Linked DNA regions of Rattus norvegicus. The protein of the gene in region 1 interacts with the protein of each later gene in a biochemical or structural test. Links are inferred from orthologs where the notes say so. Each region holds a gene or a part of one and is shown on either strand. Other genes may lie near its edges.

Region 1 (6,666 bases):
GGCTAAAAGGTATGTACGACATGTCCAGCACAGTATCTGACACAGATAACCAGCCTCCAAAGGGGAAATCCAGAAAAAAATCCAATTATCCAAAATGATGCGGCCATCCATTCTACGGGGTTCCGAAGAGCATTGTGGGCCATACATGACAGCATTTATTCTTCACAAGAAGAGGGGGAAAAGTGTTGACAACTCTTTCTGACATGTGCCCTAAGCAGACAATAGTTTTACCTGAAGTACGTGTTATCTAGATAATATACAGTTGTTCATCGATTTTCTTCTTCTTTTTTTTTAATTTAAAAGAGTGTTAAGTAATAACCTGAGACAGATGCCCTCTCTTTTCTCAAACACAGTAACAATGTGGCGGTTACTCATCACTGACAGTAAACACCTATGCTGTAATATACACAGCTAGCCAGTATGTGAACACACCTCAGCCAGTTGCTAACAGCTAGGCTTACCAGCAGACTCACCCCTGGTCCAACTGTGTAGAGAACACAGACACTGCAGCACAGGAGAGGAATTAAACAGAACTCACCTGAGGGTTCAACTTTATCCACATGGAGTCCACGGATGTAGACACGTCTTTTATGGTGCATATCACCGTAAATGTGTCCCCTTCCTTAAGGAGATGACTTGTTTCGGGCACAGACACCACTGGGATAGCTTTGATGGCTAGAACGGAAAGGAATACAGCCCCGAAGTCAGTCCTTCTGCTACAGCGGGAACCTAAACTCGTCTTATATTTAACATGCTTTTTTTCTTTTTAAAAATGACTTTTGTTTTATCTATTAGTGTGTATCTTTGGATGCATATGCCATGTGCGAGGGTGCCTGAGAAAGTCAAGTGGGGGGGTGTGGAAGACCCTGGGGCTGGAGTTACTGGCCCATGTCGGGAGCTGGGATCTGAGTGGATCCCTTAGAAGAGTGAGCAGCAAGCACTCTTAACTTCTGAGCCACCTCTCCAGACTCAACCTTGCATTTTCTTGACTGTGCACAGCTTGTGTTAGGTATCATTAAATAAAATACAAAGCATAATAATACTAACCAACCTGTATCATTTGCATATCTAAATATAGAACTATGAAGTCATTCACTGTACAAGTAAAGTCATTCCTGCTGAGTGAAAAAGACAGGAGTGCCCAGTACAAGACCATAAATACCTCTGGCATTTCCCCTCGGGTGGAAGAGGGTAGCATGATAAAGCAGACTTAATCTTTACCCTAGATGATTTCTTGAGGACCTAGCCTACAGCCAATAGTATTCTTTTATAGCCAAATGGGTCCTTTTCCCATATATTATACAATCACACCTTGCTTACTTCTAAAAACCCCAGGTTATAAATAATTAAAATTCCCTTCATTTTAATGAGTATAATTTTTCAAAAGCAAATTAAAAATTCTCCTCATCAGTTGAATCCCAAAGGGATGCTGAATTAGGGAATCTCAACTCTAAAGCCTAGTTTATCTCCTGGCTACTGGAGGGTTCAAGGTGATGTCATGGTAACAAGTTCCCCGGGTTGTAGGCACTTTCTTTCCCAGAGCGTGAGCGGCTTGGGAGCCAGTCAGCTATAGGGAAAAAAAAAATCAGGTCACGTGTTCATACATATTAATGTCCTTGTAGACTAAGGTCCTCAAATTAAATCTTCCCATTGAGTAGGGACACTTGTGGCAAGGATGTCACTTGGGGATGCCCTAAACCAGCAGGTTTAACGACATCTTAGCTAGCAAGAGCCATGGACCTGTCACTCTGGAGGAACTCACGAATGTCTACCATCACCTGGTCCTGGTCCTGTGTCCATCAGCTGTGTCCTGATGCCCTAGGCTAAGTTGGGAAGAGAGACGTCATCCCCGGGAATAGGGTTTCCATCTCCCACAAGATGTGAGGGAGGGGACGTACCTGCCCTCACTTTGAGGGTGAATTTGTCAGACCGCATCCATTTGCCCTCACGCTGGGCAGCACACCGGATGCACAGCCGGTGGTAGGCGCGCTTCACGTTTTTGATGGTGATGCCAGCCTTGGGGTTGGGGACGAACTTCAGGTCCGTGGGGAGAGATTTCCCATCACACTCAATGAGGGAGTAATTGGACACCTGTGGGTCTGTCAGGGGGCAGCGGACCAGTGCGTCATTGTCTTCTTTGCCAAACAAGGGAAGGCCAACCAGGAAAAGTACGGCAGGATCTGTGAAGCAAGACAAAAAGCCAACGTGCTGGACCTGGACACTGAAGGCACCTTGCTTGCTGGCTTGTTTCCACAGCGTCTCACAATGCAGCCCTGGCTAGTCTGGAAACTTGCTTGTAGACCAGGCCGGCCTCGAACTCAGAGGTCCACCTGTCTCAGCGGGGATTAAAGGCGTGTTCCGCCACAACCTACTCTCTGAAAACATGTTTAAAAGATTACAAGCTTGAGATTACAGGCTTAAGAGATTACAAGCTTGAATAACACAGTGGATTTCAAAGTTCGCTCTTTTGTTCATCATGTACAAGTCTGAGCTAGCTTATCCATACGTAGACCCTGCGCATGCAGACCTAAGGCCGGAGTGGAGCTTCTGATCTCCCGGAACTGAAATTCTGAGTGCCAGTGAGCTGCCCAGTGTGGGTGCTGCGAACCAAACTGGGTCCTCAGCAAAAGCAGCCAGTGCTCTTAAGGGTTGAGCTTCCTCACCGGCCTCCAGCACCCCAGCTTTTCATGTGGGTAACTAAGGATCAAACGCAGGTCCTCATGTCACTTGACTGACAAGCTACCGCCTCAGCCCTCTGAAATTCTGTTTCCAAATTATCCTTTCTACCTGGAAACCAAATGTTATAGACACACCAACAGAATCAGTTACCACTGAAATATATGTCACTTAATTAAAACAAACATCAGAAGCTGCAGGTGGTTTTCTGTCTATACTTTCTCAGTCACCAGGGTGGAGGAGCCTCCCTCCTCTCCTCTCCCTTTCCTCTCCGCAGCATCCATTAGTTAAGGGTCCGAACATGAAGAAAGGGTGCGAGCTGAGTGGCTCCCTCAGCCATCTCCTCAGACATGCAGGCATCTACACAGCTTGCCATGAAGCTGAATGGCGCCTTCCTTACCATTTGGAAATTACAAAATGTCTTCTCCAATGTCACCAGCAGCTTTCGGGTGGGCCCGACAGTCCCGGAGCCGAACCCTCAAGCTAAGCTGTGGCTTATCGCTGAGCACGTCTCCTCAGCTGCCCACTTAAGGAAGGACGACTGATAAAGCAAAAGCACAGTCAATTTCACGGCGATCTTCCGAGGCAGCTTTATTAACCCCTGTTTGAGCATGCTAAGATTTGTATAATTGTGTTTCCCTAACAATCCCCTGAGGGAGACTGCTCATCTTATCTGAGGCCCACAGTGAGAAATGGAGGCCCTACGCAGCACACCTCCCAGGCCCAGGCAGACATCCACCAGAGACTCACAGAACTGCCCACTGTAAGTGACAGACCCAGTCCCGGTACAACTGGTGCTACCGCCTGGACTGCCTTTTTCCTGCCTTCTCGTTTGTCTCTTAGACAGTCATTAGCGTTGTTTCACATCACCCAAAGGATAGCATCCTGTGGGTTCTTGACATGAGAGCAAACACGCAACTACAAACTGCTGAATTCGTCTAGAAAATGAGGTACAGGGCTCCAACTGTCACGTCTCTTTGTCTTTTGTTTCCGAGAGGCTGTAAATTGTTGAAAAGAACCAACTCCGAGAGAGCTTATGACTGACAAGGGATGCTTAGCTGTCTGAGCTGTTTTCTGGAATTTACTCCCTAAGTCTTTTGAAGTGCTACTCTGTTCGGGCCTTTTGAGGCCTTCGGCTCCCTGAAGTGTTTTTTACTAAGTGGGAATATTTAGTATCTCCAGGCATTTAAATACAGTTTTCCCAAAGGGCCTAATTTCTTCTCAGGGTTGACCCCAAAGCACCAGGACAAATGGGTTAACCAGACTGGAATCCAGTTCTGGCCTTGCAGACCCCCAGCTGGGGTCACACCCAAAGCCATGAGGAAGTTGGGGAAGAAAAACAAGTACATTAGGCCTCCTTGAACCAGCTAGCAAAATTCTGCCTGTGCTCTGGTCAACTACGCGGCCACTTAAAAGTAAGGACAGGGTAGCGAACACTCCAGAGCACAGCGACACAGAAAACGGGAGCGTTTACCTCTAACGAACACGTAAATAGAGCTCCTGAGGCCGCTGCCGCTGACGCACGTGTATTTGCCCGTGTGAGTGGCCTCGGCTTTTTCTCGAATCCATTCGCTCTGCTTATTCTCAATCCTTACATCGAGGATCTCGAAAGTCCATTTGACAAAGGCGGGGTCAGTGCACGTCAGCCTGATGGTGTCGCCGGCTTCAACTATTAACTCTGACTGGGCCGGCTGGATGGATGGTGGAGACGGCTCCCCTGGACTCGCAGATGGCTGAGAAGTCCCTGCCAAGAAAAACAAGGACTGTGCTGAGCGTGAGCCGTCTTGGCAAAATAAAGCCTTTCTTCTAATATCAAGCCGCTCCTCGTCTGTGTACGCCACAATAAAAATAGCCCTGCTATTTGTGGCTGCAAAGGGAATTCTGTCGAAAGTTTAGACTCATCTATATAGTTATTCTCCGAAACCTTCAATTAGTCCTGCGGGTCACACCTGGTGTGCAAGCTATCGAACTAGACCCAGAGCTTTCTTGGGGTCAACCATGCCCAGTGACGGCGGTCGGTCCTTGTGGTGTGGCTACAGGAAGATACACCTTAAAAACCACTGCAACGCCTTACACAATGGAAACCAGAAACCAAAGTGAGCGGCTTGATGTATTCCCCAGCGCTGAGCCACGGGGTTTAAGTCGCCCTTGCTCAAGTAACGGAGCCCCAACCTCTACCCATTAGAGTAAAAGGCAACAAAGACAAAACAAAAAGACTCTGTTAAGGTAGGAAGGGAGCTGACAAGAGGCTGACAGGAATGGGACGGAGGGGACTCTCTCTCTCTTTCTCTCACAGACACACACACACACACACACGTATGCATGTATGTATGTACATATATATACTATAATATACTATATACTATATGCATATACTATATAAGCTATAATGCGCATATGCACACTATACATAGTGCGTATGCACACTATATAGACATATGTAGTATGTGTGTACATAACTGAAAAGTACATTAAAAAGAATGTGCATGACAGAAGGACCTCTTTTTTTATTTTCTTCAAGCTTTGGAATTCACCTATTTTGATACAATACTCCTTACAGGGCAGTGCTCACGGTAACAACATCTACAAACCTCCAAATGTTACGGTAAAAAGAAAAAATGACAGAGTCTGTCCAAGACAATAATGACAGGGACCACAGTCATCAAAGGTCAGTAAGCATCAGCAACCAGGGAGATGCTGAAGGGTGGACAGAGCCAGTCTGGGCTCCACGTCTCAATGGCCCAGTCTGGTTATGGAGATAAAGCTGCGAGGACTGTTTCCAGAGGCCTAGGAAGCCTCTGGGGATAAAATAAGAGGTGCTAGGGTTGGGGATTTAGCTCAGTGGTAGAGCGCTTGCCTAGCAAGCACAAGGCCCTGGGTTCGGTCCTCAGCTCCAGGGTGGGGGGTGGGGGGGTGGCTATTGTTTCAGTTCCTTATGTTCCGATAGTGTAAACCCTTGCTGAAACATCAGAGAGGGAGGATGGACATATGGAAGGACGGACTGACTGTTCCAATGAATACAGAATACTCTCAGGACACTGACAGCAAACTTGACCCAAACCTTTAGCTGACACCTCATGTAATTTGGTGAAATTTAAAAAACAACTGACACTGGATGTATCCGGGGTTTTTATTCTCAACAATGACTTATAAGCTCAATCTTCACACACGCTATAAGATAAAAAGTCTTATTAGGATACAAATGAAGGTAATGTCTATTGTCTTGTTTCTAAACCATCTTCAATGTTGTTATCATGGCCTCACCAGATGATGATGACGACAACGATGACGATGATGATGATGACGACAGAGATTCAGGTTTAGAAAAATAGAGGTTCACATTAAAGGACTATCCCTCAGAAAGATACTCCAGGATTACAGGGATGCTCGGGGAGAGGAGGTCTTGTGAATGGCCTGAGAGCCTAAGTTTGGTTCCTCAGTAGTACCACATAAAAGGTCAGGCACGGAAGCATGCCACTGTAACTCCAGGCGGGCAGAGACAGCAGATCCCAGGTGCTCAAGCTCTGGCTGGCTGACCCAGCCCAGACAGCAGCCTCCAGGTCAGTGAAAGATCACGTCTCAGGGGAGAAGGGCAATAAACAGTAAAGGAAACACCTGAGGCCCTCCTCTGACCTCCATGCACAGGGCTGTGTGGGCCCATGTACCCGGACCCCTTATCTCCTCAGCTCCCCCCTCCCCACCCCATGCTCCCACCCACACTCCTCAGTACGTCAGCTGAGCTAGGAGGCTGCTCTGAAATACACATTTCGATGTGCATACCTGATATTCAATTCGGCAAGCTTTCAACTGTCAGTGTATTTGTCTGTCTTTCGTCTCCACCAAGACTTTTGTATCACTAAATGCATACACGTCCTTAATCATGTGTGGCTATGCAAAGTAGTAAGATTTCACTCCTTGTCCCTGCACATGTTAATTAATGAACCAAAGGAAATGACATATGATAAAACTCAGCACCCTAGAGACAGAATC
Region 2 (6,666 bases), on another chromosome or scaffold:
TGGCAGGTGTACTCAGAGTCAACATTTCCCTTAGCAAAAGTAGCAAGACTTGCCAGCTCCTAATCTAAAAGGTTTAAGTAGGAAAATGTGGAGTTGCCCTCCCACTGGGAGGAGGGGAAGAAGGAAGGGAGCCTCCAGGAGGTGGGGTTTAGCTGCTGGCTTTGCTGGTGGTAAAACCAGGAGAGCCGGAGCCAGCAGTCGGAAGAGCATTTCATTTCATTCAACATCTTAGCCCTGTGGTTCTGCTGATTAGAAAGGGGGCGAGGATGGAAATGAGTTTAGAACTCTCTCTCTCTCTCTCTCTCTCTCTCTCTCTCTCTCTCTCTCTCTCTCTCTGTGTGTGTGTGTGTGTGTGTGTGTAGGTGTGTGTGTGTGTGTGTGAGAGAGAGAGAGAGAGAGAGAGAGAGAGAGAGAGAGAGGTGGGGGAAGGGGGAAGGGTTGGGGAGGGAGGAGGAAGGGAGGGGGAGAGAGAGATATGTGTGTATGATAGGTAATTTGTGTGTATGTGTAGATGATGTGCAGGTGATGTGTATATATGTGTGTGTGAGATATGTGTGTGTATGATATGTGTGTGATGTATTATGACACACACACACATCACACACACACTTATGGATGTGTGTGTGCATTTGAGTGGTCAGAGACTTGGGTTTTGGTCTTTTCACCTTCATCTTTTTGGGGTCTCTTGCTTGTTGCTGCATATGCCTGGCTAACTGGACCTCAAGCTTCTGGGGACTGTCCTGTATCTGACTCCCACTCCAGTAGGAACACTGAAACTGCACAAAGTACCTTTTGTTTTACACAAGTTCTGGGGGTGCAAATGAAGATCCTTAGACTTAGCAAGCATTTTACACACTGAGCCGTCCCCCCCCCCCCCCCCCCCAGCAAACCTGCTATCTCCTGATGAAGCAAGCATGAGGAAGAAAGGATCAAATACTCGATAGGAGAGAAATGGAAATGGAAAAAAGAAGCTGGATCGGGAGAAGTAAGAGAAAATGAAAATGCATCCTGAGCCATGTTTTAGCGATTTCTTTAACTTTAAGGATTCTTCACTCTTCCTTCCCATGAAGTAGACAATGCAGGGGAGTCCGAAATGAGTGTGTGGAGAGTGCGGGGTGGGAAGGGCCTCAGAAAACCGCTATTGTAAATCAGGTAACCAAAGACGCACATGCCATGTTTGTAAACAGGGCACTTGGGAATGAAGGGCTTTAGAATACTTTGAAAGGATACTATTTTAAAAAAATCAGGGAAAACACACATTAAAGTTGGACAAACACGAGACGTTCAATCCCTTCCCCTAGGCACCCAGAGCTTCAAATAAACACACAGATTACAACAGTAAAGGTGCCTGCAAAGCCTGTTCCTTGGGCATCCAGGCATCAACTCCTCAGCCCTCCAACCGGAAACACCCCAGCGTCCAACCGGAAACACGCCAGCGTTGGAGGCGCAGACTCCACAAGCTCCTGCAATGTGACTGCACAGAATGACTCCCTGCCCTTTCCCCACCAACCGGCTCTTACTTATGCACGGACAGGAGTTGGAATCTGATACACGAGACAAAGACCTCAAGATGTTATTGGGTGTATTAAAATAAAATCAAAAATAGAAATATTAGGTATGTACACAGTAACACCAGTGAAAGGGACAGACACAGCAGTTTCTAATGGGAGTTTACAGGGGAAAAACCCAGGTAACGAAACTGCTCTGGTCACCAGAGGCTTCTCCATGATTGCCTGCTTCCTACCTTCACGTGTAAATAGTCTCCCACACAATTTAGAAAAGATTACTGAGTCACAAAAATAGCCCCCAACATGGCATTTTAACTTCCTTAGAGTACGACTATACTATATGATTTATAAAATGTTCAAGTCATTTGAGGCAATGAGAGAAATGCTTTGTATTTTTGGAGGGTCTCATAAAGTCCTGACAGACTAGGAGAGACGCTTACGTTTCTCCCAAAGGACACCATCAGGAAAGCCTTGAGAGAAACCTGTGACTGAAATACCTGGACCATTACAAACATTCCTCTACAGGGCAGAACTTGAGGCTTTTCTGTCCAAAGGGCTCCAGTTCAGCAAAGGTCCTTCTGCGTGCCCACCCACGCACAGCGCTCCTGCAGGGGGAGTGAGTGCTGCCTTAGGTCCAGTGATCTTACCGCAAAGGAAAATGTTTAATCGTCTCATTTTCTGGGGGGTGAGGTGGGAGGTGAGGAGGAATCAAACTTCCCAAGCCAAAAAAAAAAAAAAAACCATTCGAATTTAGAGAAGATGTTTTAAAGCTCGTGGCCTTCGCCTGTAAAATTCAACAGGCTGGATTAGTAGTTTTTAAGAAAGTAAGCCAAAGCACTGAGAAGGTAAGGGAGCATCTGCTGTGCACGGGGTTTACTTTCGCTAAGTGAGTTTAGTTCTTGTTGCATCTGGGAATTTGTTGCAAGTCTCTGAACCTGAGTCACTTGGCCCACGTAGAGCCAGTGTGCTTATTGGAGAGAGGGGGTGTTTGTATTCTGACCGTGGTCCCACTGAGCAGTGGCCACCCATGTATGAAACAGCATCCTCTGTCCAGGATGTTCTTCCTGAGTTAATGCATCCTGTCCACAGGAACCAGGAACACAGAGGGTCCTGGTATTCTCCGCCACGGCTGCTTTTCCTATGAGCTCCAGTGGGCTGGTCTCCATGCCCACTATGGCTGCTGCTGATACTGCCCTTCCGTGGCAGTGTAGAAGTCATCCAGTACACTCTGTAAGTAGTCAAAGGTTGGCCTCTCCTCTGCTGATTCCTTCCAGCACATTTTCATGATGTCATAGAGCTCATCTGGACAGTTCTCCATTCGTGGCATTCGGTACCCCTGTGACAGTGCGGTCATCACATCTGCGTTAGTTCTCCCTAAGGCCCAAACAAACAAAAGCGATCATGTTGAGTTTAGAAGCCTGGCTCAATGGCACAACGCTGCAAGGGTGGGGTACGTTCTCCTCAAATCACAGATTGAAGTCTTAACTGCCAGAGTGGGGCTGTGATTGGAGATCAGGTCTATAAAGAGATGATTAACTTAAAATGAACCCTGTAGCTGGGTTCTGATCCAATGTGACTGGGATCGTTCCAAGAAGAGGTGATCACATTGCAGACACATGGAAGACCACAGAATGCCAACTGGATCAGACAGCCATCTGCTATCCAGCGAGAGAGACCTCAGATGAAATCTGCCTTACCAACTCTTGATCTCTTGGATTTTTTTTTTTTTTGAGCATCCATAATAGTGTGGAACTCCCGCTGTTTTAAACCACAGTGTTTTATGTGCCTCTTTCTCAGCAAATTAGGACAGAAGGAACTTGGAGCATCTCAATTCGTATGTTCTAGAGCGGGTATGCATGTCAAGAAGGCATAGATTTGCAAAAGCAAAACTAGGCATGCTTCATAGGCACCGTGGCCTGAGTTAGATTCTCAGAGCCTACATTAAAAGCCAAGGAAGTGGGGCTGGAGGGATGGCTCAGGGGTTAAGAGCACTGACTGTTCTTCCAGAGGTCATGAGTTCAATTCCCAGCAACCACATGGTGGCTCTCAACCATCTGTAATGAGATCTGGTGCTCTCTTCTGGCCTGCAGTCACATATGCAGGCAGAATGCTGTACATAAAATAAATAAATAAATATTTAAAAAAAAAAAGCCAAGGAAGCTGGCACACACTTGTAATACGAACTCAGGGGGAGAGTGGGGGTTGGGAGGCGGTGGAGGTAAGACTAGCAGATCTCTGGGGCTTACTAGCCAGTCAGTCTAGCCTACTTGGCAAGTTCCAGGCTGAGGGACTATCTCAAACTCAATTGACGGCACTAAACAATGACACTCAGTGCTGTTCTCTGGCCTCTACAAGCACGTGTATGTATACATGTGTATTGGCACTCATACACACGCATGCGCCAGCATGCTTCTAAATAACTCCTTCATGTTAACATGCACATACTGTCTGAACGTGGCCAAAGAATGACCCACAGTGAAAATACCTTGGGGAACTGTGAGAGAGGCTCCAGGGAAAACGGAAAAGGGCCTTTTACTTCAAGAGCACTTTGTTCCTTGGCTTGTTCTTGGATATGGCTTCGTGCCTACTGTGTTAAACATTTACACTCAATTTATAAGACATGATTATGCTTGCTGGATGCAGAACATAACTATAGCACCAAGTCTGGTCAGTGTACACTGAATCTGCATGCTGCTTTCTGCCTTGCTTTCCCAGATATACTATAATCTATAGTATGCGCCAGATGATAGTGTTTAGATTGGTCTGTCCTGAGAAAGTTCTGGGAAAGGGCTACTCTGTTAATATATAGTATGTGCTTATTGATGCTTGTTTGCATGGTTTTCTGACCTCACACAACCTTCCTTGGATCGTTGCCTTTTTGTTGTTGTTGTTATATTTGTATATAAAACTACACTGAAACTTAAATAAGGTTTCTGAAGCATCCGACTGTAGTCTGCCCTATTCCTTCAGGTCCTCAGATCCCATAACCGGCAGAAAGAGCTGCACAGGTAGGCTGAGAAGTCAACAACATGCACACAAACCAATGTTAGACCCAACTGACCTTTCAAGTTAACCATACCAGCCCAATATTTAACCTCAGTTCTCACCACTAGCAGAAGACATTGAAGACCCTCGTTCCTTGTACATGTTCTGCCCCATCTGGAGCCCCGTTTTGGCAGAGAGGGGCACACTCGTGTCTAATCTGCCTCACCGAAACACCCAGAGCAGTGCCGAGTGCACAGGGTGAAGAGTGAGTAGAGACAAAGGAGCATCTAAGCATCTTTCAGCAAGATTTGCATAAAAGGTAACGACCCCAAGCTGTCAGGAGCACAGGTAGACGAGACTGTTGTCTTCGGGGTGCTTGGTTCTTCCCTCGCACTGGAGGGGGGTGTGGGGAAGTGATACCTGGGTAGGGAATCTTCCCATAGGTGACGATCTCGTACAGGAGAATTCCGAAGGACCACACGTCAGACTTGATAGTGAAGCAGCCGAAGTTGATGGCCTCTGGAGCCGTCCACTTGATAGGGAACTTGGCACCTGAAGAGGAAGACATGGGCTCTTACTCCAGGTTTAAGCTAATGGGTTAGAGGTAATTTTCTTCCTTGACTTTTTTTTTAAAAGAAATTCAAGTAATTTACTTGGAATAGAAAAGATACATGCACAATCAAAATGGACATGGTGTCAAATGTCATTCGAACAGAGTCACCTCCCTTGCCCTTCCCTTTAGGGTCCTCCTTTCTTTAGAAGCAGTTTCTTCTAGAACCTCCAGGGGGCACTGTAATCAGCTCAACTTTAAACGGGAAAGGGTGCGGTGTACTATTTTCTTACACTGTTGGCCTTTCAAAAGGGTTGCTGAAATTTTATCTAGAGTTTAGTATGCTGGCATGCACCTGTATTCTCAGGTGAGATAGGGGAATCTCTTGAATCAAGGAGTTTAGCTTTAAACTCCTGGACATCAATATAGGACCCCATCTCAGAAAACGAAACCAAACATACAGTATCAAAACGTCACACCAAGCCTTCTCTACAACACAGTTCAGGCTTTTCTTTAGTAAGTCCATTCTAAGTTTGAGTGGCCATATTTATTATTTCATTTAAATGTACCTACTTAATTTTTAGTGCCGGAATGAGTGCTAAGTACACATTTGACTACTGAACTAGATCCACAACCAGAATTATATTTAATTTCCTTCGAGGAAAGCAAGACTTGGCGCAGTCTGTAGCTCCAGCATTGTGGAACTGCTAGGGGTTCATAGCCACTGCTTGAAAACATTATCTTTACTATGTCTTTGCAGGCATTTTCTTTTGCAGTGCCTTACTAAGACTAGTAGTCCCTATAAGAACAGAACAGACAGTTGTGTACACCTGTTGTGTGCTGGGCTCACAATCACTGACTCCTGGATTGTTTCTAGACAGCCTGGAGCAGTGGTGCATGATGGGAGGACAGAGATACAGAGTCTCGGAGCATCTCCATGTTACCACTTTCTATTTGGTATCATCCTAACATGTTCTTTATGGTCTTTGTCCTTTCTGGTATTTTTCAAAGACTCAGTGCTTGTTGGTGTCAACAAACCAGTGTAATCAATTCTCTCTCATGTACTCAAAAGCTGGATTCCCTGGCTTGGATCCTGGCTCAGACCCTTACAGAGGATCTCTAGAGTTGCAGAACCTCCGAGGCCCATCATCAGTGGTCTGCAGCATAGACTAAGTGTTACGAACATCTCTGCAGTCCAGGGAAGCACATGTGCTTTATTATTTGAGAGGGGAAAAAATCTGCCTTACAGGGTAAATAAAGAATCTTAATTTTGACAAATTTAGTGTTGACTAAGTGAAATACAAGGCTGGATGTGTGGTGCACATACTTGTAGTCCCAGCACGTGGGAGGCTGAGGCAGCAAGATTTAGAGTTTGAGGCCAGCCTGGGTTACACAGCAAGACTGTGCTACAACTCAGTGGTTGAGCTCTTGCCTTGCAAAGATGAGACCCTCGTCCATTAATCCCCACTGCCAAAAAGTAAAACACCCCCTTATCTCAAAAACCAGCAAAGAAGAAGACAGATACTACTGTTCATGAATCTTGTTACAGTATTGAGTGGCCTTATCCAAGACAGATCTTACACAGAAAGCTACCATTGAGGCACATCTTCAATATTGTACCAA

What was found. The genes of interacting proteins can lie anywhere in the genome.
Region 2: the proteins of Kit (region 1) and Lyn form a complex in vitro, tested with the Homo sapiens proteins (2 studies listed by BioGRID and IntAct, with this or other methods). The link is inferred for Rattus norvegicus from reciprocal best matches to the Homo sapiens genes KIT and LYN.

The regions. Positions count from the first base shown.
Region 1 is NC_086032.1:32,943,057-32,949,722, forward strand, and holds part of Kit (mast/stem cell growth factor receptor Kit precursor), read right to left. Parts: intron 4,421-6,666; coding exon 4,151-4,420; intron 2,181-4,150; coding exon 1,899-2,180; intron 676-1,898; coding exon 539-675; intron 1-538. UniProt on the Homo sapiens protein: Tyrosine-protein kinase that acts as a cell-surface receptor for the cytokine KITLG/SCF and plays an essential role in the regulation of cell survival and proliferation, hematopoiesis, stem cell maintenance, gametogenesis, mast cell development, migration and function, and in melanogenesis.
Region 2 is NC_086023.1:21,547,450-21,554,115, reverse strand, and holds the end of Lyn (tyrosine-protein kinase Lyn), read right to left. Parts: intron 5,046-6,666; coding exon 4,914-5,045; intron 2,883-4,913; coding exon 2,680-2,882; 3' UTR 1,019-2,679; downstream 1-1,018. UniProt on the Homo sapiens protein: Non-receptor tyrosine-protein kinase that transmits signals from cell surface receptors and plays an important role in the regulation of innate and adaptive immune responses, hematopoiesis, responses to growth factors and cytokines, integrin signaling, but also responses to DNA damage and genotoxic agents.